Linked DNA regions of Caenorhabditis elegans. The protein of the gene in region 1 purifies or fractionates together with the protein of each later gene. This does not show direct contact. Each region holds a gene or a part of one and is shown in the gene's direction. Other genes may lie near its edges. The genes, in order: abcf-2 and eftu-2.

Region 1 (6,480 bases):
TCAAATGCCGGTCGTCCATTATTCCCCGGTGCTGATGTTGACGATCAATTGAAACGAATTTTTAAGCAATTGGGCAGCCCATCCGAAGATAATTGGCCATCAATTACACAACTTCCAGATTATAAGGTATTACATGTCGTAGTTCTTTGAATTTTTTGTATTTTCACCTCTACATATTCTTATCAAATTCTCTTAGTTCTCTAATTCCGTCTTCTTATCTTTTCCATTTTACCTGCCACGATTTTGCCGCTGTCCTGTCCTCCCGACTACTATCCGCCCGTGTCAATTGGTGAAAAACTAAAAAAGAAAAAGATAGAAAGAAGAAATGATATTGAGTACTTTGAGCTCAGCTGTTTGTTCGGGTGACGTAATTCATACAATCACGGGCGGCTGGGACAGGACAGAGAACAGAGTATTGAGTAGATTTAGAGAAGCAGAGACAACTGTTCTAGATTTAAGATTGACAATAATTAATTGAATTCCATTGCATTATAGGAACACACAAGTATAACATACCATTTTTCAGCCCTACCCAATCTACCATCCAACGCTTACATGGAGCCAAATCGTACCTAATTTGAATTCACGTGGCCGTGATCTTTTACAGGTAACTTTTTTCCAATAAAAATTATACTTACTCAAACTCGAAGTATTTGCAGAAACTTCTTGTTTGCAATCCAGCAGGAAGAATCGATGCCGATGCAGCTCTACGCCATGCGTACTTCGCAGACACTTCTGACGTCTAACTATTCACTATTGCACTTTCCTACTCACATTGTTTTCTCGCTTTCCCTGGCATTCACTTCCCCCACTGACCCCAAATGAACCTCATTGCTTGCGAAACAAAATCTCATCGTTAATAAACGGCTACGGTTTGAAATCTTTCTGTGGCACATAATTGAACGAAGGGAAAATCAACAACGTTTTATTGTTGTTCGAGTAATTTTAAAGATCAACGGCAAACACAGGTGCAATAACCGAGATTGTCAAACCGAGTCCAGATAAAGGGGCTATCCTAACGAATGTTCAATCGGGGTGTTGAGGGAAAGAATGAGAATTTGAAAAGGGGAAAACTTTAATAGAGGATTTAAAACTTTTTATGTGGCTCGCTTTATTTTTGAAAACTTAACATAGTAGCTAGGTGAACTACTTTGCTAAAACAAGCTACATAACGAGATTTTGTTGGACAATGACAAGGTAAAAATTATCAAAGTGTTATCAAATTTAAAGGAACTTCTGGATTTCGTCGTAGATGGCCAAGACGAGGGCTCCTCCGGTTCCACGGAAGACGTTGGAGAGGGCTCCCTTGAACATAGCGGACATTCCTTCGTTTTGGATGATCTTCTTTGCGCAATCGAGGGTGTTTTTGTAGAGGATATCCTTGCGTCCAGACTGCATCATCATACGACGACGAACAGTGTCCCATGGGTAGGAAAGGATTCCAGATCCGACTGTGACAACTTGAGCAATTCCCCAAGCGGCGAAGAAGTTGAGTTTCTGTCCATCAGAAGCGAAGACCATCTTGGCGGTATCGAACATTCCGAAGTATGCGGCACGGTAGATGATAATTCCTTGCACGGAGACGAAGAATCCTCTGTAGAGTCCGATTGGTCCATCGGATTTCACGATCTTGATAAGGCAGTCAGCAAGTCCCTTGAATTCACGGTCGTTGGCCTTTCCAATATCAGCAGCAAGACGGGTACGGGCAAAGTCGAGTGGGTAGACGAAGCAGAGGGAGGTGGCTCCAGCAGCTCCTCCGGAAGCCAAGTTTCCTGCGAAGAACCTGAATTTCAAATGTGAAATTTTCTAAAAACAATAATGCAATGTTTAACTTACTTCCAGAAGTCCTTCTTTTTGTCGAGTCCCTCAAGGAAGATTGCCTTGTATGTGTCCTTGAAGGCGAAGTTCATGGCCTGAGTTGGGAAGTACCGGATGACGTTAGCGAGGTTTCCTCTCCAGAGGGCAGCAACTCCTTGCTCCTTTGGGACACGGATGAGAACATCCATGATTCCCTTGTAACGCTTGTCAACGGCGATAGCCTTGGAAGCATCTTGGACCTAAAATTTTTCATATTTATAGTGGAAAAAAGTTTCATCACACACCTGGAGGAGAAGCTTGACACGCTCAATTGGGGCAACAGCGGTCTTGGAGACGGCAGCAGCGGTACCTAAAAGAAAACAAAATTAATTAAATCACAAATTTGACGAATGAAAACCCAAAATTAATAATTATAGAAATCCTCCAAATTTTTGCAATAAAAACTGAAAAAGCTTACCTCCTGAGGCGAGATCGATCAAGAACTTTTTGGTGTCGAAGGACTTTTCTTTGGACATGATTCAAGATTGAAGGACCTCGGTGGTCGGTGCTTGCCAGAAGCAATAGTGGGAAGACGGCCGCCCGTCGAAACGGGGTGCGCGCACAGCCCGTGAGGCACTTTGCAGGTCTCGCCACGCTCGCAAGTACGGTGCGTCAGGCGCGGCGATTCAAACACTAGTTTTCTCTGACCGCCCAGTTTTGGGATTTTTTGCATATTTTGAGCCTAAATATCAGTTTTGTTATCGATTTTTCGTATTTTTCTTTTCTAAACGTGTTCGTTCCTTCATTCCTGAATTTTTCACGTTTTGTTTTATTAAAAAAACGTGATTTATTTTCGAAAAATAGGTCATAACTCCAAGAAAGTAACTTAATTGCGAAAGTTTCAGTTTTTATGAAAATTATGAGCCATGTCAAAGCAAACACAATAGTGTATTAGTGATAAGCAGTACTTGAAGTGTTTTTTGTTTATTTACACTGTAGATAACTGGTTATTCGTAACCTCAATGTTCCGAAAAAAATCGATATCGCATTGTGGCTAATTTATGCCTACGGGAGTTTGGTATGACCGGTTTTTCGAATCGCTTTAAAGTAGTTTTCTTCATATTTCTCTTCTCATCGAGCCAATGACTTGTCACTATCATGGAATTTTTTTCGGGTATCAGTATGTCGAGCCACAAGGAAGAGCCACTCGAGGCTGACGTCGATCAACTTACTCAATACCGTGAGCGATGTGCCGACCATGTCACCGAATTCAAGAGTATTCTCGACGAGTGCAACGATCGTGTCAACTCTCGTTCTAACACTGAGGAGACCTGCCATCAGGAGATGGCTGACTACGTTCACCATTTGGATCACTGTGCCATGCCAAAGGCCTTCGCTTCGTTGAAATAATATTTCTTTTCCTGCTTTTTTTGAGGATTTCTCGTCTAGTTTATGTGAATTTTCGCTCTCGTATTTTTTATCCGTCGCTTTTTCCGTGTATTTGAGAGATAAATAAATAAAAATTTAGGGTACCCCATCCGCATCACTGCTGGACAACAATGCCGTCTGATGCGAAGAAAGCACGCGAGGCCGCTAAGAAGGCTGCCGCCAAAGGAGGAAAAGGAAAAAAGAAGGTGAGCAATTGATTTTTAGTTTTTTTTTGTTTAACAAATAATAATCATCTCATTTCCAGGTAGAAACACCAACCGCCATGTCATCTCAACATCCGTCCGTCAACAGTCTCTGCTGTTTAGACGAGGAGCTCGATCAGGCCGCCGCCACCTTGGCCAAAATCGAATTGGAAAACGCTGCTGCTCGTTCAGTCGCCGGATCATTGACTTCCGATCCAAAGGGTCTTGATCACAGAGTAGAAAGCCTGACGGTAAGTGGTTTTTAATTGGCGACTCCAACAAGTAACTTTGTTTTCATTCAGATTACATTCCACGGTCGTGAAATTGTCGTTGACACGAAACTCGAACTCAACCGTGGACGTCGTTACGGACTCATCGGATTGAACGGATCTGGAAAGTCTACCATCATTCAGGCAATCTACAACAAGGAAATGCCAATCCCAGAGTCCGTGGATATGTACCTCGTATCCCGTGAAATGCCTGCTTCAGAGAAAACTGCTCTTCAAGCGGTCGTTGATGTCGATTCAGTCAGAAAAGAGTTGGAACATCTTGCCGAGCAGCTTGCTAGTCAGACTGATGAGGAAAGTCAGGACAAGCTGATGGATGTTTACGAAAGGCTGGATGAAATGGATGCATCTCTCGCTGAAAAGAAGGCTGCCGAAATTTTGCACGGACTTGGATTCACAAAAACTATGCAAATGAAAAAATGTAAAGATTTTTCTGGAGGATGGAGAATGCGCATTGCTCTCGCTCGTGCACTTTTCCTGAAACCGTCAGTCTTACTTCTCGACGAACCGACCAATCATTTGGATTTGGAAGCTTGTGTGTGGCTTGAGGAGGAACTCGCTCAGTATAAAAGAACCTTGTTGGTGGTTTCTCACTCTCAAGATTTCATGAACGGAGTTTGCACCAACATCATTCATTTGTTCCAAAAGCAATTGGTTTACTATGGAGGAAACTACGACCAGTTTGTGAAGACACGTCTTGAATTGCTCGAAAATCAACAAAAACGATACAACTGGGAACAGTCTCAACTTCAACACATGAAAGATTACGTCGCGAGGTTCGGTCACGGTTCTGCCAAACTCGCTCGTCAAGCTCAATCCAAAGAAAAAACTATGGCTAAGATGATTGCCGGAGGCCTCGCTGAAAAGGCTGTCACTGAAACCGTGAAACAGTTTTACTTCTTTGATGCTGGGGAGATTCCACCACCAGTTATCATGGTTCAGCATGTTTCATTCCGATACAACGAGAATACTCCATGGATCTATAAGGATATTGACTTTGGAATTGATTTGGATACCAGAATCGCTTTGGTCGGACCTAACGGAGCTGGAAAATCGACACTGTTGAAGCTTCTCTGTACTGATGTGATGCCAACTGACGGATTGATCAGAAGACATTCGCATTGTAAGATTGGACGTTATCACCAGGTTGGGAATTTTTATGAAAAAAATCTGCTGTCCAAACAAAATTAGAAAATCCAAAAATTTAGTGAAAAACATTTCATTCAATTCGAAAGTTACACTATTTCTGAAGCAAAAGCAAGACAATGACCAAGACCAGGGCGATAATAATCCATCTCAAATTGTCAACTTCCTCCTCGGCATGCTCATCTTGCTTCACAGTTTTCATCGCTGGTGTTTGCTCAGTCGGTGTCATAGCCTGTGTAACAGCAGTGTTTGGACTGGTTGTTGAAGCTCTGAAATTGATCATTCTTATTCTTAAATTTCTGGTCGAAATGTGTGGGAATATTCTAGATATCGTCTGTGTAAATATGCTAATTTAGCCTGGCTTTTGACCACTTTCATATCAGACTTTGAACTAAATTGAACAAAACTCACGGAGTAACACCCAAATCTTTGCCGACAGCATCAAGAAGAAGTTGCTCAATTGGTGGAGCATCAGCATCGCACTGCTTCGAGGTGCTCACACGAGCCATTAGACGCGTGTTAGTTGGTGCCTCATCAGCCGCTTTCATTCCTTGATGCATGAAATAAGTTGTCAGCAGAAGCTTAGGCGTACCAAGTTCGCTCCACTGAGTGACACCATCTGGCTTCTGCCAAGTGAGAAGAATGCGCATTTGGGATTTCGGTGCAATGTGTCCTGATCCTGCTGGAAGAGCTGTGATGTTTGACGCCGCGCTGCAACGGAGCTTGACGAATATGTCACGGTCAGAAATGTTGCAGAGAAGGAGTTGAACACGAGCTTGATCGCCTTTATTTCGAATGGCTTGAAATGTCAGCAGTGTGGCTTTCATCTCTTTGTTGGGATCATCTCGGAGAGTGCGACGAATTGAAAGACGCGATCGAGTTTTCTTGCTGCTTGACGATTTCTTGGAACTTTTTCCCTTTCTCTTCGAAGATTGAGAGTTTTCCTTCGCAGTTTTCATCTCACTCTCTTGTTTATCATCTTTTTTAACTTCGGGCTGCAGAGGATCTGCAGGAACAGGAACATTAGAAGACTGTTCATTGAGATTGTTATCGGTTTCTTTTGTTTCGCTGAAATTATTGTTTTGAATAAGGTTTAGCAATTGTTTCAAAACAAACCTCATTTGCGAGCCGGACGTCTCCTGATAGAATTGAGAAATAATTTATTCCCCCCCCCCCTTGTCGATAATCATCGAGTTGGAATTTTTTCACGGAAAAAATAAAAAATAATAATTTTTTGAAATTATAAATTAATTTTTTTCTAAATAATTTATTTTTCCTTTCAGCATCTCCACGAAGAGCTTCCATTGGACTTATCGGCTCTTGAATTCATGATGAAGGAGTTCCCAGATGTCAAGGAAAAGGAAGAAATGAGAAAGATTGTCGGAAGATATGGAATTACTGGAAGAGAACAGGTTAGTTAGCATAAACTAATCATGAATAGCTAGTAATACATTTTTTATTTCCAGGTGTGCCCGATGAAACAGCTATCTGACGGTCAACGTTGTCGTGTATCGTTCGCCTGGTTGGCTTGGCAGCAACCACATCTTCTACTTCTTGACGAACCTACTAATCACTTGGATATGGAATCCATTGATGCATTGGCCGAGGCTATCAACTGC
Region 2 (6,480 bases), 7.5 Mb from region 1:
TTTTTTCTCTCATACTTTATTTATTTCCAGATTTTTTGTTTCTCTCATTGTTTCCATCTCTCTGGCCAGTTCACTTTGTGATCAATCTCAGATTCGTCCACACAAGATTCGATTGTTTTGACTTTCAAAACTCTTATTTTTAAAATTCATTTCCCCACACACACACACATTCATTTTCTGATTCTGGTTATCCCCCTGATTCTAGACCAATTATTTTCCAATTGCTGTGTCCGAATACGAGGTTTCATGTTCTTCACCCCGCGCACACATACACCCAATCCCTTTTCGTCGTAAGATTCTCTGTTTTCTTTTTAAAACTCTTGAGATTCTTTATTCCTTCTGTGCGAGACCCAAGAACCGCACACTTTTTTCGAACGCGTTACGAGTTCTCCGTCCCTTCCCATTGAATAGTATTCCCCCTCTACATCTGTTCTATTCTCTTAATTTCTCGCCCAAACTATGGCCAATTTTAAAAGTTAATTATTATTTTTCCTCCAATCTTAGCCTCTTTTTCAATCCCCCCCTGTCAAGTATGAGCTATTTATAATATTTTTCGAAAAATAGGAGGTGAAATAAATATATATTTATTGAGTATTAATCAAATTAAATCTCTTGGAGATGAATTTGATTTGAAGAAAGAACACAAAGAAATTCTGAAAAAATCAAATACTTTGATCACAATCGGGAATCTTTCGATAAGATCCAGAAATCTGACGTAGATTAATTCAAACTAAATTTTGATAAATGGCACATGGCACGGATAAATGATAGCAATAATTTATAATTGTTTGAGCTCCTTGAATTCTTTTAGTAATTTCCCCATCACATCCGAATGTTTTAGTCCTTGTGCAGTGTATTTCCAATAGTGTTCTTCAGAATATTCCTTGAAGCCTTCTGGATGCTCACTGACAATACGACGAGGAGCTGGTGGAGATGGCTTTGAGGAATTGGAAAGAATTGGACCAACCGGCTTGGCTTTAGGATCTTCAATACGGATTCGAGTATTCGTTCGGCGGCAATAACGGTAGAGAATGAATCTGCCAAAACATCTTCCGCACGCTTTTCGTGAGGTGTCGAGAGATTTCGATTGACGCTTTATTCTGGAGAAAAATTATATTTTTATGTATTGGAAATTGGAAATTTATCAGATTGACGGTTCTGGTGTTTTGCTTCCCTATAAGACTCTCCTATAAATTCTAGTCGATAAGACTGTGACTATTAATAAATTTTTGTGACAGTTCAAAATCCCGAAAAATAAGGTAAATTTTAAATTATATTATTTTTTGGACGTATTATTTTCGAAAATTATTTTTTAATGAATTATCAGATATATCTAGATAAATTAAAAAACTTACTCTACATCACATCCATCTTTCTCACAAACATAGAAGAACTTTGCCTCAATCTCATAACTATGACATCTTTCAATAAATGGAAGTGACTTGAACACCGAAGAGCATCGAGCTCCCCATCTCTTCCATCCTGGGCCATGACCTTCTTTATGAAGCCTGTCGACCACCCATGTTGCTGCATGACACAGTTCATGGATCAGTGTATCTCGTACTCGTTCAGCAGTTGTACATACTACTGGTGACATTTCGACAGTGCTGTTTCCATTTGAATGATTTCTGCATTGGCCAGCTGATTTTCGAAGGCGTGCGTTCCATATGACTTTCAGCTTTTCCGATGGAATTGCTGAAAAGATTCGGCGAACCAGGATGTCTTGAAGACGTGTGAGAAGGGATTCGCGATGCTTTTTATAACGTAGAGATGTTTCCTTGATATACACCTTGGCATCTTCGTGTCTGGAAAAATATTTTTTAAGCAACTAATCTCTATATTATATTTTTTATAAAATTAATTTTTATTCTGCAAAACTTGTAGGAAAATTATCGAGAGCAAGGGTGTCCTAAAAATTTGTTCGATTTTTTTTTCAGAAAAATCTAAAATCTAAAAATCTTATATCGTTAAAGGAAATTTTTTAGCTTTTCCGGAAAACTGAAATGGGAAAAAATGTTTAGAAAACAAAAAATTCATTTTTAATCGATTTAAGTTGGTTAATCTTGATGATAAAAAAGCATGATTTTTTTTCAAAAAAAAAGGAAATTCGCCACAATTTGACGTTATTTAGAGAAATTGAAATATTGGAAAATGAGCATTTTCGATTTTCGATTTCTCAAAAATTATCTTACATTGGTCCTGAGAACTTCTCACTCAATGACAGAAGAAACCATTCTTCTTCGTCAGTTGGTCGCTTCTTCTGTTTTCTATCAGAATAGCTAATCTTCGCTTCAACTTCTGGACTTGATTCTCGATATTCTTCATCGTCGACATCTTCTTCCTCTTCTTCAGATTCTTCTTCTGAACTTTCTTCGCTTATATAATCATCATCAACTACAAAATCTTTTTTAACTGGAATTTTTCTCTCTGGTTTAGCTGGCTCCGTTGGCTTTTCTCGGAGAGTTTTGAGATCTAAAAAAATTAAAATTAAAACGGAATATTTTTTGGAGCATCGTTTACAGTTTTCAAAGTTTCCATCATCTTCTGAATCGGATGAAATAACTATTTTCTTTGTTCGTTGTTTCTTTTCTTCTTTTTCCTTCGAAGGTTTTCCACACGGAGGAACATTTTCCTTGTCATCATTCTCATAATCTGACAATGACTCCACTTTCTGAACTTTTGAATTTTAAAATATTCAGATTTCAAATATGAACATTACCAATGCTTTTTTGACTTCTTTTGGTTTCTGACGTGGTTTCTGGTTGGAATCAAACATTTCCGGATATAACTGTCGAAGCATATCTCTCTCATCTTCTTTTTCAATTTTCTGAAGTAATCTATCACCAGGAGTCATTGGAGCTTCTCTTGCAATGACTCTTGCAGGCGTTCTATAGGCTGGTGTTGGAGAGCTAACTGACATCATGGATATATTATTTTCTAGAATTGAAATGCTTTCGTCGAGATTTGATATTGGCTCATCTTTCTGAAATTTTAGAATTAGCTCATCATATATGAATTTTACTGCTTGCAATTTCTTTTAAGTTGGATTTGCTATCATTATTAGTTGATCTTCGACTGCTGAAGCTGGAACTCCATGCTGTTCTGCAAAAAATGTTCCTACAATCTTAAAATCCTTCCAAAAAACTTACTCGTACGATGACGCTGAAGCATTACTTTTGTTATGAAGATCTCGAAATGGTGTAGGCATTGAGGAATACAGAAGATTTGCAGAATACGAGAAAAATAATTTTAATCTTTGAAATTTTTGATTGGCGGCAAATTAAGCGCCGTTGGTGCAATTGCGTATTTGTTGCCAGAAATGACGAGCAAAACTTTGAACAAGGTTTATTTGGAGCGCGACTTGCTCGACTTGCTCGAGCAAGTCGTTTTTTTTGAGTAGAAAAATGATATTTTAATTATTTTTCAATTTTTCGTAAAAACATTTGCAAGAATTGACCGATTTTCCAAGAATAATTGAGCTGTTCTGGAAATGTGGATTACTGTAGAAAGTACCACAACTGCGCTCCACTGCAAACGTCGGGGAGCGATTTTCGAAAACGAATTCTTAAGCTGAAAAAATATCTTAAACCACATTTTAGCATATTTCCAAGCGCAAAATGTGTGTTCATAGTTACTTCTTGATTTGTATTTTTTGCTTTTGAATCTTGGCTCTTATATTTGCTCTATATTCTCATTGGGACTCTTTGTTTTAGGCAAATACTCACTTCTCTGTATATTTCTTCTTTTTTACTTTGAAAGTCTTTCATAACCGAATTAATTATTCAGAACTGAACGTCTCGAGCGATGGATTCGGATCTCTACGATGAGTTTGGTAACTATATCGGTCCAGAGCTAGACTCTGACGATGATGCCGGAGATATTGATGACAATGGTGATGATGAAGATCGTAGCGATGTGGATGAGGATGATGAACCAGACAGAATGGAAGAAGATGACGCAGAAGAAATTCCCCAGAATCAAGTTGTTCTTCATGAAGATAAAAAGTACTATGCTACAGCTCTCGAAGTATACGGGGAAGGTGTAGAAACCTTGGTCCAAGAGGAAGACGCTCAGCCACTCACTGAACCAATTGTCAAACCAGTATCCAAGAAGAAGTTTCAAGCCGCTGAGCGTTTTCTCCCGGAAACTGTCTACAAGAAAGAATATTTAGCTGATTTAATGGACTGCCCTCATATCATGAGAAATGTTGCAATCGCTGGTCATCTTCATCACGGAAAGACGACTTTCTTGGATTGTCTTATGGAACAAACTCATCCAGAGTTCTACAGAGCTGAAGACGCAGATGCTCGATTTACTGATATCTTGTTCATTGAGAAGCAGAGAGGATGCTCGATTAAATCTCAGCCAGTGAGCATTGTGGCTCAGGATAGTCGAAGCAAAAGCTATTTGCTCAATATAATTGATACTCCAGGTACCTAAACTATAGTGGTTCATTCGTACAAAATATATTATTTTAGGTCACGTGAACTTTTCGGACGAAATGACTGCTTCATACCGTCTTGCTGATGGAGTTGTTGTGATGGTTGATGCTCATGAAGGTGTTATGATGAACACTGAACGAGCAATTCGCCACGCGATTCAAGAGAGGCTTGCAGTAACATTGTGCATTTCGAAGATCGACCGCTTGCTTCTTGAGTTGAAGCTTCCACCAGCAGATGCTTACTTCAAACTCCGTCTTATCATTGATCAAGTCAATAATATATTGAGCACTTTTGCCGAAGAAGACGTTCCAGTACTCTCTCCACTTAACGGCAACGTTATTTTTTCATCGGGACGATACAATGTCTGCTTTTCTCTATTGTCTTTTTCGAATATCTATGCGAAACAACATGGTAAGAAGCTTACGAAATTAATGTCTTGCACGATTTTTATTTTCCAGGTGACTCCTTCAACTCAAAGGAGTTTGCTCGCCGTCTCTGGGGAGATATTTACTTCGAGAAGAAAACTCGCAAATTCGTAAAGAAGTCGCCGTCCCATGATGCTCCACGTACATTTGTGCAGTTCATTCTCGAGCCAATGTACAAGATCTTTTCGCAAGTCGTCGGAGATGTCGATACTTGCCTTCCTGATGTGATGGCTGAGTTGGGAATTCGTTTGTCAAAAGAAGAACAGAAAATGAATGTCCGTCCATTGATTGCTCTCATCTGTAAACGCTTCTTTGGAGATTTCAGTGCATTTGTTGATTTGGTGGTTCAAAATATCAAATCACCACTTGAAAATGCGAAAACTAAAATCGAGCAGACATATCTTGGACCAGCTGATTCCCAATTGGCTCAAGAAATGCAGAAATGTAATGCTGAAGGACCATTGATGGTTCATACAACAAAGAATTATCCCGTAGATGATGCAACTCAGTTCCATGTATTTGGACGTGTTATGAGCGGAACATTGGAAGCAAATACAGACGTCCGTGTACTTGGAGAGAACTACAGTATTCAAGATGAAGAAGATTGCCGAAGAATGACAGTTGGAAGACTATTTGTGCGTGTTGCCAGTTATCAGATTGAAGTTTCTCGTGTTCCTGCAGGTTGCTGGGTACTTATTGAAGGAATTGATCAGCCAATTGTTAAAACTGCAACCATTGCTGAGTTGGGATACGAGGAAGATGTCTACATTTTCCGTCCTCTCAAATTCAACACTCGCAGTTGCGTGAAACTTGCCGTAGAGCCGATTAATCCATCCGAACTCCCGAAAATGTTGGATGGCTTGAGAAAAGTCAACAAGTCATATCCGTTGCTGACGACTAGAGTTGAAGAATCCGGAGAGCACGTGTTGCTCGGAACTGGAGAATTTTATATGGACTGTGTGATGCACGACATGCGAAAGGTGTTCTCAGAGATTGATATCAAAGTTGCTGATCCAGTTGTCACATTCAACGAGACTGTCATCGAAACGAGTACGCTGAAATGTTTTGCAGAGACTCCCAACAAAAAGTGGGTTTTCATTCAATTTTTTCAAAACAATAATTTTTAATCAATTTTTTCAGAAATAAAATCACAATGATGGCTGAACCTCTAGAAAAACAGTTGGATGAGGACATCGAAAATGAAGTTGTTCAAATCGGATGGAATAGACGGCGTCTTGGAGAGTTCTTCCAGACCAAGTACAACTGGGATCTTTTGGCAGCTCGTTCAATTTGGGCATTTGGCCCTGATACTACAGGACCCAACATTCTTCTAGATGACACATTGCCATCGGAAGTTGACAAACACTTGCTATCAACTGTCAGAGAATCTCTTGTTCAAGGATTCCAATGGGCAACCAGAGAAGGCCCATTGTGTGAGGAACCAATTCGTCAAGTGAAGTTCAAACTTCTCGATGCCGCAATCGCCACAGAACCACTTTATCGAGGTGGAGGTCAGATGATCCCAACTGCACGCCGATGTGCCTATTCTGCATTCCTTATGGCCACGCCAAGATTAATGGAGCCATACTATACAGTGGAAGTTGTTGCACCAG

Evidence for each region.
Region 2: the proteins of abcf-2 (region 1) and eftu-2 fractionate together in Caenorhabditis elegans (co-fractionation; one large-scale study listed by BioGRID). This does not show direct contact.

Annotation. Positions count from the first base shown.
Region 1 is NC_003281.10:13,459,084-13,465,563, reverse strand, and holds the start of abcf-2 (ABC transporter domain-containing protein), read left to right. Parts: upstream 1-3,325; 5' UTR 3,326-3,356; coding exon 3,357-3,431; intron 3,432-3,490; coding exon 3,491-3,679; intron 3,680-3,730; coding exon 3,731-4,861; intron 4,862-4,918; exon of another isoform or gene 4,919-4,955; coding exon of another isoform or gene 4,956-5,130; intron 5,131-5,272; coding exon of another isoform or gene 5,273-5,929; intron 5,930-5,977; coding exon of another isoform or gene 5,978-5,982; exon of another isoform or gene 5,983-6,018; intron 6,019-6,144; coding exon 6,145-6,273; intron 6,274-6,327; coding exon 6,328-6,480. Other genes in the region: cdk-5 (Cyclin-dependent-like kinase 5), read left to right, coding at 1-126, 527-607, 660-746; ant-1.1 (ADP/ATP translocase), read right to left, coding at 1,225-1,783, 1,837-2,057, 2,103-2,167, 2,276-2,333; T27E9.2 (Cytochrome b-c1 complex subunit 6), read left to right, coding at 2,980-3,207; tag-164 (Major sperm protein), read right to left, coding at 4,956-5,130, 5,273-5,929, 5,978-5,982.
Region 2 is NC_003281.10:6,005,776-6,012,255, forward strand, and holds the start of eftu-2 (Tr-type G domain-containing protein), read left to right. Parts: upstream 1-3,784; 5' UTR 3,785-3,804; coding exon 3,805-4,432; intron 4,433-4,478; coding exon 4,479-4,853; intron 4,854-4,900; coding exon 4,901-5,954; intron 5,955-6,007; coding exon 6,008-6,480. Other genes in the region: gcna-1 (Germ cell nuclear acidic-1 protein), read right to left, coding at 779-1,100, 1,356-1,805, 2,193-2,472, 2,521-2,671, 2,720-2,983, 3,030-3,102, 3,150-3,208.